2 linked regions of the Styela clava genome follow. The protein of the gene in region 1 purifies or fractionates together with the protein of each later gene. This does not show direct contact. Links are inferred from orthologs where the notes say so. Each region holds a gene or a part of one and is shown in the gene's direction. Other genes may lie near its edges.

Evidence for each region. Proteins that work in one complex are often made in the same cells at the same time.
Region 2: the proteins of peptidyl-prolyl cis-trans isomerase NIMA-interacting 1-like (region 1) and DNA-directed RNA polymerase II subunit RPB4-like purify together in Homo sapiens (co-immunoprecipitation; 3 studies listed by BioGRID and IntAct, with this or other methods). This does not show direct contact. The link is inferred for Styela clava from reciprocal best matches to the Homo sapiens genes PIN1 and POLR2D.

The regions. Positions count from the first base shown.
Region 1 is NC_135254.1:5,014,630-5,023,351, forward strand, and holds the start of peptidyl-prolyl cis-trans isomerase NIMA-interacting 1-like, read left to right. Parts: upstream 1-5,038; 5' UTR 5,039-5,222; coding exon 5,223-5,289; intron 5,290-6,070; coding exon 6,071-6,156; intron 6,157-8,722. UniProt on the Homo sapiens protein: Peptidyl-prolyl cis/trans isomerase (PPIase) that binds to and isomerizes specific phosphorylated Ser/Thr-Pro (pSer/Thr-Pro) motifs.
Region 2 is NC_135263.1:10,962,097-10,969,074, reverse strand, and holds DNA-directed RNA polymerase II subunit RPB4-like, read left to right. Parts: upstream 1-4,618; 5' UTR 4,619-4,627; coding exon 4,628-4,813; intron 4,814-5,037; coding exon 5,038-5,289; 3' UTR 5,290-5,638; downstream 5,639-6,978. Other genes in the region: dehydrogenase/reductase SDR family member 13-like, read left to right, coding at 3,229-4,245. UniProt on the Homo sapiens protein: Core component of RNA polymerase II (Pol II), a DNA-dependent RNA polymerase which synthesizes mRNA precursors and many functional non-coding RNAs using the four ribonucleoside triphosphates as substrates.

The DNA.
Region 1 (8,722 bases):
TCTTCTCGATGAGTGAAAACCTAAAAATCTTGGAAAAAATATAAACACACTATGATTGCAGAACAGCTTAGGGAATAAATCTATTGTTGATGGGCCACCCACCCATTTACCTTTTATTTAATCCTAATCTAAAAAAAATTCAATTTAATGTCTGATGATTTAATATTATATTGTATGAATCTTGACATACCAATAATCTAGAAAGATATTTTAATTCTATTTGTGCGTTGTGGCCTTTTTCCTCTACGCTCCTGAAATCATTCATCGAAACTTGCTTTGACATAATACTGTTAATCAGAGTATTTTTATGTTCTGTGTCCATTTGGTATCAAATGGTACCAGTTGGTTGTGTTTTTCTCAAAACAATTTTAGTGTAAATTATTTCATTCAAATAGGCTACAAATCTGACCTGGTTTAGCATTTGCAAACTTGTCGCCAAAATTTGACAATATTTTCGAAATTAGTATCTGAAAATATAACAATGTGCATGGAAAAAAATTGAGAAATTTAAACAGTTTCTTTTGCACAGCTGGACTTTCTGAAAAACATTTTACTGAACATTTCATCGTGATATTGAATTGCTTGCATGGCAACCAATATTTTTTTCATCCAAATGTGAAAAATTAAGTTTTAATCGACTGACCGAATTCACTATTCGAATACATTTAAAAAAACTTATATTTCAAAGTATAGAATTCACTTTACATTGGAATTTTTGGAATCAATTCGTCTCCATGAAAACTTGAAAAAGCTATATTTATCGCTGGCTTTTACAACATTGTTAACCAGAGAGTTTTCACATAAAAATATCTCAATTCTCTTATTGGAATAATTTTTAAAATGTTATCGAATGTTGGCTTCGGTCATCCATTTTGTAATGCTATAACTTCTCGATTTATTTCGTGGGTTGGGGTGTTAGAGATTATTCAGTGCACAGTTAATTTTCATACTCAAGACGGAATTCTGTTGAATTGTTCAACTATTTTCAGTTTAAATATAATTTTCGGGATTTACTGCAATGTAGAACCGTAATATCTGTTCTTAGATCTATTGCGAAATAAAACTGCTCAATTGATAGGGTCTCACAAACAACGCATTTCCCATATTAAGTTACTACAAATAAATTTGTATAAATTGTGATTATTTTCCAGTTGTAATTTCAATTGAAAGTGTTTTAATTCTGGCTGCTAGTGTCTTTCATCACCCCTTTTGGTCTCCCCGTCCCCACTGTAACTACTGTATTATATATTGCATTTACTGCATATTCAGAAAAGATCTCCGATTGAAGACATGTTAATTATGAAAATTGAGTCTGTGTTTTTTCGATTGAGTCGTTGGGTAGGTATTAGGAAGCAGGCTGGGATTAAGTCAGTTGGGTGCGATGACGTAACGGTTCGCGATTCGACTGAGTTTCGTTGGCATTGCAGTTTTCGTGGTGACTGTACATTTAAACCCATGTGTATATCCGCGGGTTCAAACTATGTGCAGGTGCTGAAACCCGTAGGTTAGGGTTAGTATTCCATAGGTGCAGTAGTATGCGGGTGCAATTGTCGTGGGTTCAAATGTCCATGTTTGGAGCGATAAGGGCCGAAGAAAAAATTAACATAAAGGTGGGACGGTCGATAGTTTGATTTGAATTTCGAACAGAAGGTTACTATATGCCTTGGCCTGTCTGTTTGTCGTATTTCCATGTGATGCCTGTAGGGTCCTCTTATTTTCATAGGCAGCGCTCTCGAGGTGTATATCTATTCAATTGCGGACATGATTCTCCCTGGCACCTTAGCTCGGTTCCAAATACTTCTGGCTTCCTGCTATCTGTATATGCTCGTTTTACCGTCCGATCCTGATTAAGGGCTCGTTTGAATAGCCGCCCGTGTGAACAGAACATGAAAATAAGTAAGGGCCGGTGCTTGAATACTCGCCTGATGTAAAAGCTGATTTTTCAGTGGTAGAGAACAATGGGAAATAAAAAGCGCTTTTGTCACAACGCTGTTGAATTTTAAGCGCTGGTAGATAACACTCACGCCTTATGCGTCCAATTACATAACAGATAGCCTTGATTACTCAAACTGGGCGTCTGCGACTACCAAGTGCGTCGTTTCAATATTGATAGGGCGTCGCAATTTTTACTTTAAAAATAACAAGCGCCTGTGCTTGAATAAGGGCCCGGTTAGTGAGTTTGGTTAAAAAAATATGGGCCCGGGCTACAAAACGAGCAAATACGGTATATAAGAATACCCAGTCATGTTTTGAAGCGTTTTTACCAGTTATTTTATGACCCATTTCAATTGTAGAAAAGCCAACAAACGTAACAAAAAATAAATGCATTACATTCCAAGAAATCGACTTTCTTTTCCATGAAGATGAGTGTGTGAACTCAATCCTACTCAATGTTGGTTATGGATAAGTCGGGTTATGCCCCACCATTCTCTGTTAATCTTGGTAGGAAATTTGTAAGATAAGCAGATGGAGGTCGGTGAATAACCTAACATATAAGATAAACAACACAGAAAATTTAGCGTTGGGCAATGACAGTATAGTGCCCGATAAAATATTCCAATATTACAGAATATTAGCAAGCATATCGCACCGCTGACAGTGCGTTTTTTGAGTTATTATTCTGGCAGGAAATCCTGTCGACAGAATTGGAGAAATGTTTGTTTGTATTCTATCAAGTGCTCAACATAGAAAAATATCACAAGTTGAGCATCGTTTATCTATTATTCAAGCTTGGGAAATATATCCAATTGACAGACTGCGAAACGGTGAATGCACGTTCCGGCAAAGTAGGAATTTTTGGTAGTAATTACAACGTTTTTGATAGTATTTGCAACGTTTTTTGGTGGAAAAAGTGGGTTTGTTGGGAAGATATTGTTCCATGCACGATTGATGGTCGAAACCCATGTATTCAGAGGTAATTTGAATTTAATATATTAATAGACATGATATGTTCTGGGTTAGGATAGGAATTTAAATTGAGAAATGGGGAGAGTATTTAAAATAAGATTCTTGATATGTTTTGGGTCAGGATAGATGTATTACTTTGGCAAATGGTTAGAGTAAACATGTGTCAGTGTGTAATTATGGAGTCGAAATAAACTTATACAAGTGTGATTCATGGTAAGCTATGGGTTGGGGCTGTAGGGTGGAATAGAATAGCTACAGGAGTGGTGACTCAGGCAGGGGCCACGGCCCATCTAATTTGGCCACATGGGCCGTGGCCCATCAAGCTATGGGCCGCGGCCCCATCGGGAAAAATTCAATTATCTTACTAAAATTTTCAATTTTTACAATATTGTCAATATTCGAACCGAAAAAAAATCGCGAGATGCCAGCAAATTTTTTTCTTACGGTAAGCCTCTATATTTAAATTAAGCAAAATACCAAACAACAGAAAAGAATAGCCTACTCCTGTAGTATGTGTACCAGGTTAGGGTTAGGACAAAATCTTGTTCAAAATTTTTCACATTATAGTTCTATTATGAGTGTGGTGACTGACTGTGTTAGCCAAGTAAATAGTCCATTTACACAACTTGATGGGCCGTAGACTGGTAGAGGAATCACCACTTCCACTCTAGAATAGGTAGGAATAGCTATAAAGCTCCCATCCAGTGGCTAGGTATGACATGGTATTTTTTGGGTTAGGCAAAACTAGGGGTTCAGGTGTAGTTTAGTACGGTACCACATACAGACATATACTTCTAATTTGAAAAGCTATATGACGTGATTGTGACGTCGTAGTTATGTAAATTTTGGATGACATAGTCAAGTGGGGTTAATAATACTGTAATAACATATGCAAAAATAATTTTGTCCAGCCCACTAGGCTTGTTGTACTATACTACGTTAAACCCAAGTTAGGATAGATATGAAAATTTAGTCACGTTTTGATTGAGTAATCATATGTTTGCTCGGTATCAGATGCTAGAAATACGCTCTGTCATTGCACCTCTGACTACCCTGCATGGGTTCGCAGGTCGAATGCTGTGGGGGAAAAAATGTCCTGAGAGGATTGCTGGCCTTCCCGCCGCCGTAGGCCATATCACGTAACCGCTGAATGATTTAAACAGCACAAGGCTCAACTAAATATGGAAAGAGTACTGACAAATTGCAAGTGCCATTCATTTGCTAAATTCAGTTTGCCCGATAGAGATATCAGTGGTTGACACAAGTAGACAGTGGTCTACATCTGGGTTTCTTGAACTGGGGTTCGTGATGGCTCCACGAGGGTCCGCAACGAAATGAAAAGATTACGAAATATACATTTAATGGTGCTCCCGAAGTATGCGAACCAAGATGGCGGACATCGGAACGTAACATGGGTAACAGGTTAGGGTTAGGCGATAATTTCTTTCCAATTTTCCTTATTTTAGTCCTATTATCAGTTCGAAGACTAGCCAAGAGCCTCCCGTAGTATTTATACCTAAAATTATGGCCTAACCCTAACCTAGTACACATATTACATTCCGATGTTCGTCATCTTGGTTCGCATACTTTGGGAGCCCCCATTTAATATCATGTAGGCTATATATCCATTGTCACGTAGCGATTCGTAAACAAGATAATGTCGTAAGTTCAGGCGATCGCAAATCGTAATTGTTACGAAACCAATGGAAGTGAAAAAATTATAGTAAAACGATCCTTGCTTCCAGTGTCTGTGAGGTGGACCTTCATCGGGGAGCAACGAATATAAAAGTATTTATTGCACTATAGCATTGGTTTCCAGCTTTTTATATCCTGTGGCCCCCATTCGGAGACTTTTAGCACTCATGGCCCTCCTGTTTATCACTTCAGTGGTATTTATGATGTTATTTTGATTTGGAACAATATTTCCCTGCCTCATCTGATATTCAAATTTTCTGTATTCCAGCGACCACCTTGTATATGAGCATGTCTTGAATCTTTTCTTGGATTTTTATTTTCTGTATATTTTATTGTTTATATTGCCTTGTATAAATCAGAATAATTAATATTTTATCTTAATAATGTTGTTGAACTTTCTTATCAGGATTTGAAATAATATTGTTGTAAAAAAATTTATTTGTTTCTTGCTTTGTTTTAAGGAATATTGTAGATAAAACTAGTTTATACTGGTTTGAACCAGTTAAAACCGAGATAATCCAGCTGTGAATTGTCTGATTATATCTCAAGCTATCTGACAACAGTTTGTCTTGTTTATCATCCCGTGCAAATTGGAGCAGACGAAACCAGTCTAATCCAGTATGAGCGAGTCAGAACCGGTTAGTCCACTTCCAGATGGTTGGATAAAGAAGGAAAGCAGATCATCAGGTAGTTATGACTCACAATTGAAGGATTTTAACCAAGCATTATTTTAGTCCAGTGGTTCTCAAACGGTGGCGCCCCCCCCGAATGGGGGTATGGGCAATTTTTCGAGGGGGCTCGAAGCTAATTGAAAATGGTAAAAAAATGTTAGATTTGATCTTGCCTGCCTTATTTTGGATATTTTACATTTCGAAACTTTTTATTCGTATCAATATGTACGTTCCATCCACATATTTTCAACGTGCTTTTCAAATAAATCATACTTTTGCCTTACTATCTGTTATTTGTAGCTTATTGTTAGCTAGTTATTTTAGAGGTGGGACATGAAATTTGACAAATTCTAAAAAGGGGGCGTGGCTCAAAAAGTTTGAGAACCACCGTCCTAGTACATTTTATTTATTTATTCAAGACATTTGAAACGTCCATATAAAATGACAAACAAAAAACAATAATTAATAATAAATAAGGGGAAGTAAATAGTACAGAAAATGCATTATATAGGATTTACATATTCATCCCGGGAGGAGAGGAAAGCCTATAAAGTGGCTTGATTACATGGCGAACCACGGCCTCTTGTCTGTTTCCATACTATGTCGGGTATAGAATTAGTTATCCAGTATGCGAATCCTATACCTAACGTTTACCACGCTGCGCCACACTGCTGTGTGTGCAACGTGCAGACATGCAACATATATATATATATATATACAGAGAATCTGTGATTGTGCAAGTATCTTGAATTCCAATTTTTTGTCATTTTTGTCAACTTTCTTTTTGTGCTTCTCAGGGAGACATTACTATGTGAACAAATACACGAATGCGAGTCAATGGGACAGACCAACCTCAGAAGCAGTGAAACCAGCAAGACCAGAGGTAGGAGATGATTTTTTTTTTTTTCTTGAGTGAAAGGAAAGCTGATGAACCGTGTTTGGAAGCTCGAGCGATCACAAGTCAACAGTTATCTAAGATGAATATAATAAAATATAATCATAAGTTGCAAGAGTTTCCAACAAAGGAATTGAAATTTGCTGTTGTAAATATAGCTATCAATCGGAGTTATGTAAGACTATGGAATCGCTTTTCTTGTCTTTGTTGACATGCTTGTCTAGCGAGGACAAATTATTAATCAATTGTGTCAGTGGACCAGGTGAATAGCCAGGAATAATTGAAGGAGGGAGATCTGGAATTTTTATTAATTGTCGAGTTGGACCATAGCAGCCAGCGAGTCCGACTGGACGACCCTGACTTTGTCCCAGTGTGAGAATAGCTGGGCGGATGCATGAACTAGACTAGTGAAGGGAGTCTTTCTATTAACAGTGTGATTGCTGTTTAATGAGATTGAGACCAAATTGGGAAAAATGGGTAAAGTGAGAGAAATATTAGTCCTAGTAAATCGAACGTCTCACCTAAGTAATCTGGAGAAATATTCCCCAAACTCTGTAAAGTCTGCATATGTTTAGGTGGATGCTTGCCCAGAGCCATCTTCACAAAATTGCTATGTATGATACATAATGGGGTGTACTAGGGCAGGGGTGTGCAAACTGTGGCCCGCGGGCCAAATGCGGCCCCCAAGGAAATATTGTGCGGCCCGCTGAGAAGTGCCAATTTTGAATAGTGTGCCCGCAAAAAGAATTTTTAGTTTAGTTATTGTGACACGTGCGAGAAATTTTAATCACTTTACGTCGCAAAGCCAGTACCCGAGTGCCACTGTCATATTAGCAAAACTAGCTAGCAAAAACAGTTTTTGTGTGTGAAACTACTATAAACTATATCTTAAATAAAAGTACAGCCTGTGACTTCACTCAATCACTTGAATCTGGCCTTCCTGTAATAAAGGTTGCACACCCCTGTACTAGGGTATTGTGTATTGAACTGCAGGTCCTTTCTCCTTGTTTACTTTATATTCCGGATCCGTATGTGGCTGTTGCCACAAGGATGTGTGACTGAGATAGTATTATGAAGATAAATAAAAATAACATAATCTCTTTCCACGAAATATTAAGTATATTATATAGTATATAGCTATTTGATTAGGCCATATCTTGTTTTATCTGGAGAAGTTGGACTATGATCTAACGCAGTGGTCGGCAACCTTTTTCCAGTAACAGACCGGTAAAGCCTGACCAAAATTTTGTAATAAATAATATGCGTTAGAAAATGTATGTTGACAATACATTCAAAAACAAAGGTGATACTATTCATGTAACGTATTTCTCACTCACGTTAAACCCACTTCGATCTTTCGTTTTTGTAATTGCCATTTTAAAAACCCAACCTCACATGAAGATAACAATGGCATTGTACGTTTTCATGTCACCATTCTGCGGACCGGTAGTGACCTTTCCACGGATCAGCCGCGGCCCGGTGGTTGCCGACCACTGATCTAACGACAAATATAAAATATACTTGATATCACAAATATACTTGATATTTCATGGAAAGAGATTATGTTATTTTTATGATACATAAAATTGCTTTTTTATATTTCATTTGGGGGTCAGACCCTCAAAAACCCCTGTAGTGGCAGCAAGCCCCCTTAATCACAAAGAATAGTCCTCTGTTTATGACATGAAACTCAGAAGGAATATTTTATTCCTTTTGATATATATAAGTTAGTATATTTTTGTTTTGTAATTTGTAACATCAGGCAGTGAAATTTGAAATGACCTAATTTGACTAATTTCAGATACTGTGGAAAATAATATGCAATTTGATGTAAATTTAATTCAAAAAACCATTTCCCTTTTAGTTTGAACATTCTGAATTTTCTGTTGTGATTTGAATATGTTGTTCATTGAGCAAGTTGACTGCTACAAATGTACAAATCTTTGTGCACAGTGAAAGTGAATGTACAGTGCCGTATTTCTCAACCTTTGGTTCATCACCCAAAACTGTCCTGAGTTATTTCATTTAGATGGGGGCTTGCCAAGTTGGGTGTAGTGACCCCATAGAGGGTGCGCAAGGAATATTAGGGTACGCAAAGCCCCAAGGGTTGAATGGTATGTTTTATCTTCAGGAAGTAATTAAAAAAAATAGAAATTTGTTATGCAAATTCAACGTTACTCAAATTTCATGAGACCATATGGTTAAAAAGCTTTCTTCTTATTAGGCTCTGTCAAGTATGAAATATAAATAGACTATAGTACAATAGCTTGCCAAGTTTGGGAGAGATCATAGACCAGATTTTACTCACTGGTGCAGCCAGGGATGGTGAAAACCAAATAAATGCTTTTTCTAGACACTTATCGTATTTATTCGAGTATAACTCGAAAAATTGCTGGACGTGTTGCTGGACGAATTTTTTTTCTACAAAAAACTACTCTTGATATTTGCCTCGATTAATGCAAAGCCATCTTGCTTTTGAAACATAATTGCTGAACAGCTGGCTTTTGATTTTCAAATTTCAATTTTATTTTTGTGCGGTCAGGAACGGTCCATT
Region 2 (6,978 bases), on another chromosome or scaffold:
TTTTGATTATGCTAATTTAGGATTGTTAGGATGTTTAGGGTTATTTAGTAATATAGGTTCTAATTGAGTTGTATGTCGAAGGCTAATTATACTCTTTTATTGTTTTTGTGTCTTGTAGCTAAATTTAAGTACTGTTGTTGGGCTGGAGACACAAATATATTGTAACCACATCATACAACACATCATACAATACACATACAATACATTTACATACAGACATCAAGTTTTGACATTCACTGTGTTACACTGCCGTTATACTTGCTGTGGAAATTTATCTATCTACTGTGGAACTTTTAACCTGATTGTGGAATTTTACTGGACTGTGACTTGTATATACTGTAAATATACTTTCATTACAAGTTCTTTCATACAAGTTGGATGTGTTTATGTGTGCGTTACTACTGTGTCGAGAGTTAGCTACGGAAGTAGATTGACAAGACAGCCCAATAATCAGAAATAGGACCTGTAGAACCTCTTAACTCTACAACTTCTGCATGACGTAACAATTGAATTAAACCAGCTGTTAGCGAGCGGATGAATATTAGTTATTTCTGCTCGACCTTGCGCTGAGTTGGGCAGGCTTTCCATAGCCCTGTTTAGTTATTATTAGTTAAGTTATGCTAAGACGTTGTTGAAAAATGTATAAGTAAATTATTAAACACTTGTAGATCCTTACCACGGATATGGGCCGTGAGACGAAACCATGAAAACGCCCAGAAAATGAGTTTCGTAGCGCACATCTGGTAACTAAATAAATTCTTCAGTTTTGTGTGAAAACGAACATAATGAACGCATTACAGCTTGTTCCACAATCCTGGTGCGAAATTGAATATAAGAGGTTCCCGGAAATTCAATAACCATAAGTTTACAACGCATACATAAGAACTATACAATTCGAGAGCCCTACAGCACACTAACACAAATGTATTCCTGTAATGTTTTGCCTGACCAAAATCGGACTTCCTCAGTCAATCATAATTTATTAGGTAGATTACGAAAAATATGGCATACATGTAACCAACAACAAAAAATACTTTAATTGTGTGACAGGAGTCGGGAGTGACCTCGAAAGCAGCGACACCAACAACGCTGATTCACATTTGAGAATAAATTTTATGTAATAACCACAAGCAGTTTACAACAAGAACAGCATAAAAAGCTACATCCATTTTATAGAAGCTATCAAGTATCAAACGTATTTATTTTTAAGCAATGAAGTCACAAATTAACATCGTGAGCACGAAAACACAAATAAATCAGTTATTTCTCACTTAGAAATTTACCGCAAAAGTCAAGAAAATTAAATGAATGTACAATATGTACATAACATAGTGAACAGAAATATTACAATTTACAATTAATCTTTTTTTAGTTTATGTGGTTATGTATTTGAACAAAGGCAATAATATTTCTAGAAACAGGACTACGACACTAACAAATGTCCGAAAAAAAAAACAAATGTATGATACTTATTAAATCAACTGTAATATCTAATTCACTTTCTTCTGAATTGTTTTCGAAATCCACTATCTCAAAATTCGACTTTTCCTCTATAGGTGTACTGTGATTTCTGCAGTCAATACAAAAACAAAAATCTGTGCAATTTAAGTTGATTTTGCCACACTTTCATAAATTATTTTGACTATTTTTCTTTGCAGTTTGCCAACTCAAGAACTGATTTGAGGGCCACATGCTTCTTCAGTGAATCATTGTTGGGTGGAGAGTATAATCCTTATGTTTGACAGTGTTAAATAGACGTGCCCTGGTATCATTTACATTCTTCATATCCTCTTCAAATTCCTCAGCTTTATTTATTAATACCTCGTTAACCTCAAAAGATCTTCATAGTCGAGGGAAAAAAATGAATTGAAAATCTCAATGAAGTCTCCAACATGAATTTGATGGGCAGTTCCAATTGCAGAAAAGTGCTAAAGTATTTCAATATGAATAGCCCATCTAAGCTGTTTGCAACTATTATGATTCTCATATACCTTTAAGCTTCAAGACTTCTTGTTTAATCCATTTTATAGCACTGATAGCAGCAGGGATCAGAGCCTGCGTTAGGTCGGATTGGTGGAACATTGCCGTTTTCTTTTGTAGTACAGTATCTAAAATAAGGAAGAAAATAATATTTGGAGCAGCATGATTTTAAAAATACCCCTAAATACTAACTAATACCTTGAATACATAATGCATTTTATCTGATGTACTAAATGAGCGTATATATGCTCATTGCATGTTCTACAGTCCAGCAGTGTTTGCATACCATTACTAGACTATATCTACACTAAATTTTGATATATCACAGTCTGAAATGTCCTATGACAGTATGAGTATGGACTATAGACTATATTTTGAAACATCAACTGTTTGTCTACAACTTCATTTCTCACCTCTCAATCATTTCCAATGCTACCTTTCTTTCCACTCCGGCATAACTTATCATTGCTTCCCAGGTTCTTGTCGACTCTATGAATTTAGATTTAGACCAACCGACATTAGTAAAATTGATTAATTTCTTCTCTTTCACACAACCGTGCATTACAGAAACAGCCATTCATTTCTATTTCCAAATATGCTGTGGCCTATATAGTAGTATAAGTCTGCTGAATAGTCAAGAAGAGTCATTAAATTAATCATAAACATTTCATGCAAGCCAGAAAATATCGTTGTTTGTGACATATTATTCTAGGTCTAGCCTTCCTTGGAGTTACCGCACCGTACGGTACCTATTTAACAACGTCTTATGAGCTAGTGCTCAACTAAAATTGCTATTTATGGCAAGGATATACAAGTGTTTAATATCTTACCTATACTTTTCAACACCTCCTTAGAATAACTGGACTAATATTACCGGTAACTGAAAAAAACTATGGAAAGGCTACTCAACGCAAAAGCGAGCAGTTGAGTACATCTGATATTCATCCGACCACTGGGGATCCACCTACAGCTGACTAACTTGACTGTTACGTCGTGCAGAAGTCTGCGTTCATTGGCCCATGATACCGGAAAAGCAGAGAAAATAGGACAGATGGTAACACATATTTATTGTAGTAAAAGCGTCTTTTCTGTAAAACGTGCAACTTTTGGAAGTGGGAACAAGGCAATATTTGTTACTAAATTTCTAAGGAACATTTTAAAATCATTTTCAGGTAGTTACCTGATGTGCGCTACGAAACTGAAAGATAAATGGCCTCGGCTCGCGGCCTATATGGATTCCCGAATGCAATGGATGGTGGTCTATTGGTAGCGCTGAGTTGTTTACTCATTATCATAACTTATGCGTGGATGAAGTTTGTCAAAACAGGACCCGTATTCAAGAATGATTTGGAAATTGACGGAAAAACTGTCCTTATTACCGGTGGAAGTTATGGAATAGGAAAAGAGACAGCTCTACAACTTGCAAAACGCAAGGCACGGGTAATTATCGCCAGTAGAAATGAACAGCGTGCGTCAGAAGCTATTTTTGATATCAAGAGCCAGAGTGGAAACGATATGGTGCACTACATGAAGCTGGATTTATCAGATTTTGCGGATGTAAGAAGATTTGTGAGGAATTTCATTGATACAGAACCTAGGCTGGACATTTTAATAAACAATGCAGGTGTTGCTGTTCCTGGAATGACAAATGATGGGAATGATATTATTTTAGCAACAAATCAACTCGGACCTTTTCTTTTAACTAATCTTTTAATTCCACTTTTGAAAAGTTCATCAGATTCCCAACATGTTCGAATAGTAAATGTCAGTGCTGATTTATATACAATTGGAAAAATTGACTTTGGTAATATAAATTTAGGACTTACCAAGGAAAGCCCTTATCAGCAGATAATTCAACAATATTCAAATACAAAATTGATGAATGTATATTTTACAACAGAACTGAATAAAAGACTGAGATCCGAGGATCCAGAAAACAGTTCTATATCAACCTATGCTCTTCATCCTGGTGTGATTGCCAGTGAACTTGGTACAGGAGCAATCCATAATACCTTGATGAAGGTTGGCCACTTGATACTAAAAGCTTGCTTCATGCGTCCACTTTTTTATGGCTGCCAAACCATTTTGTACTGTTGCCTTCAAAAAGGACTCAAGGAAAAAAGTGGAGGGTATTTCTCAAATATGAGGATGAGACAATTAAAAGCAGTTGCAACAGATTCAGAAACTGGTCTGAAACTTTGGAAAGTATGTGAACAAATGACTGGATTAACTAAAGAAGAAGATTATTTTGCAAAAAGCGATTAAAGTATTCTGCATGTTGGATATTTCATAAATTACAGTACTGGTGGGACAGGTCTTCTCAGTGGAAAACTACCTCACAAATATAGCAATTTTGTGAAAGATGTATGGTATCAGTTTAGAACTACATTACATTCATTTTTTTGCATGCAGAATTTTTTATTGGATTTTCTATTTTGAATTTTGTTTACTTGACGAACAGTGAAAAATGCTTGATTGTGTTATAGTTAGTCCAATTGAACCCTTTTTCTGCCATGCTTGTTTCCCATTGTAGAAATAAAGTTATTTAAGTCCTAAATTATGCCACAAAATGGCATTGAAGATGATATCTTATATTTATCCAGATAAAATATTTATATACTTTATAATTTCTTTGTAAATTTCTGTCATGACGTCCTCCTCCACAAAAGCTCTTAGTTCTGTGTTGGAAGACAAAGAAGAAGATGCATCGCAGCTACAATTTCCTCCTGAATTTGAGAATGCAGAAACTTTGCTCAACTCGGAAGTTCATATGTTACTTGAACATCGGAAACAGCAAAATGAAAATGTTGAAGAAGAACAAGAATTATCAGAGGTATAAATCTTGCCCAACAATTGGAAACAAGAATAAATATGAAAATGCTGAACTATATTTTATGAAGCATAGCTACATAAAAAGCGCATACAAGATGAACGAAACTTATGGATAGTTGTCTTTGCTATTATTATTGAGATATAAATAGCAACATCCTGTTGCAAAATACATTTTTTCCATATTTTTAGTGTTCCCATTATTCATTTATTTTTTGTTTTATTTAGGTATTTATGAAAACACTGAACTACACACAGCGTTTCAGTCGATTTAAAAATCGTGAAACAATAGCAAGTGTTCGCAGCCTGTTACTTCAAAAGAAACTCCATAAATTCGAGCTTGCATCTCTCGCGAACTTATGTCCTGAAACTGCCGAAGAAGCTAAAGCACTTATCCCCAGTCTAGAAGGCCGATTTGAAGATGAGGAACTACTACAAGTTCTCAATGATATTCAATTAAAAAGAAGTTTCCAGGCTTGATGATGAATAAATGAAACAAATTTCATCGATTAAGAGCAAAGTGCAGCCTTGCTGGATTGTTCAGTTCCAGTTCTAAATGTCTGGGGTCCAAATTATATGAAGGCTGCATGAATTTTAATACTGCAATCATTGAAAAACAGCATGAGTGATGGTAAAGACAAAATAATAGTTTGAAACCAAGTACTGATGTATACAAGAGAAGATTTTTCTCATACAGGTAAAATGGTCACATAACATAAACTCTAGGGAGGATGTACTGTACTTAATAATGAGATATTCTAGGGGTTTTTCTATTTTTATATGAGGAGTTCCTCTGTGCTTCTGATATTAAAGAGCATCTTGGAGCAGAGATTTTGCATCCATTTTATAATTGCTTCACCAATGTTGATATAGAAACCAGCAGTTCCGGTTGCCTGGACTCTATTATTTGATAGTTCAGCCATAGAAAAAGTATATAAGCAACAATGCTATTATTCAATTAGCTGCGGACAGTGCGGTCTGATTGTGGTGTACTTTGATTATCATAAACAAATTCTCTTGAGGTCACGTGCCACGTTATGTAAATCCCTATGCCAGGAATGACACAGAATTTTATATATTGGAATGGAACTAAAGGCACAATCAATGTGTTGTTGTCTTTAGGGGATGTCACTAAAATGTGTGTCCATATATAGACACCAGATATTTAGGACACCCGTCTTTCGTTGTAGTCTCCAAATACTAGTGTTTGCAGAACGACTTCCTCATCCGTTTTTAAAATAGGATTGGTTATTTTTTCACACTCGTTTCAGCAGAGAAAGCCTATAAGAACATGTTGTCATTCGGCTAGTCACGTGTTCTCGACATCAGTCTTGGCAAAAGCAAGTTGGTTGGTCGCTTTATTTGGGTGGCGGTCGTAACCGACCAGCACTTGCGCGAGGAGCGTACCCACAATTCTCTCGCCTACACAAGATTCGAACGTACCAGCCCTCTCAGCAGCACGAGTGAATGCATTAAAGTTGTGTGCGTACAAAGGTCAATAGCAAATCAAAACACGTGGTTCAAAACGTTAAAACGATAAACCTGAAACGTGCCAAGAACGAGTTCCAGAAGTAAAGCATAATCGTAATTAAACTTGTACGCCCAGAGATTTTTTCGAGACATACCAACGTGCCTCTACAATGGATGTTTCCACGATCTTTGACCTCGGGGAAATTCTACCTATTCTTTACCATAACATTTTTGGTGCTCATTTAAAAAGAAGTTTCGCGAGTGTTTCAAACGATCAATTTCATTCACAATATTCAACAACCTATCATTTAAAAACAACGATAGAAAATTTCAGTAAGCCTAGTCTATCACAGCTATTTGTAGATATGCACAACTAACAAATAGCGTGCATCAACGCAAATACGAGGTAATGTTTACAACCATGCATGCTTGAAAATCTATCTGAGTGACAAAAGTGTCTGGGAGGCCGCTAAAATGTCCATTGTTACGTCACATTTACATCTTATTGATTAGCCAATCTTAAGCAAATAGTCACTTTGATGTTTAGTAAGTAAACAACAAGTCGATGCAGTTAAAGATACAGTTGGATGCATGCGCCCGTGGCAAGTTTTATCGCCACACTTCTCTACTAATTACCGTTCGTCTCTGTAGATTTTTGATCTGAGAATTATAAATTTACTTTTCATACTGATATATTTC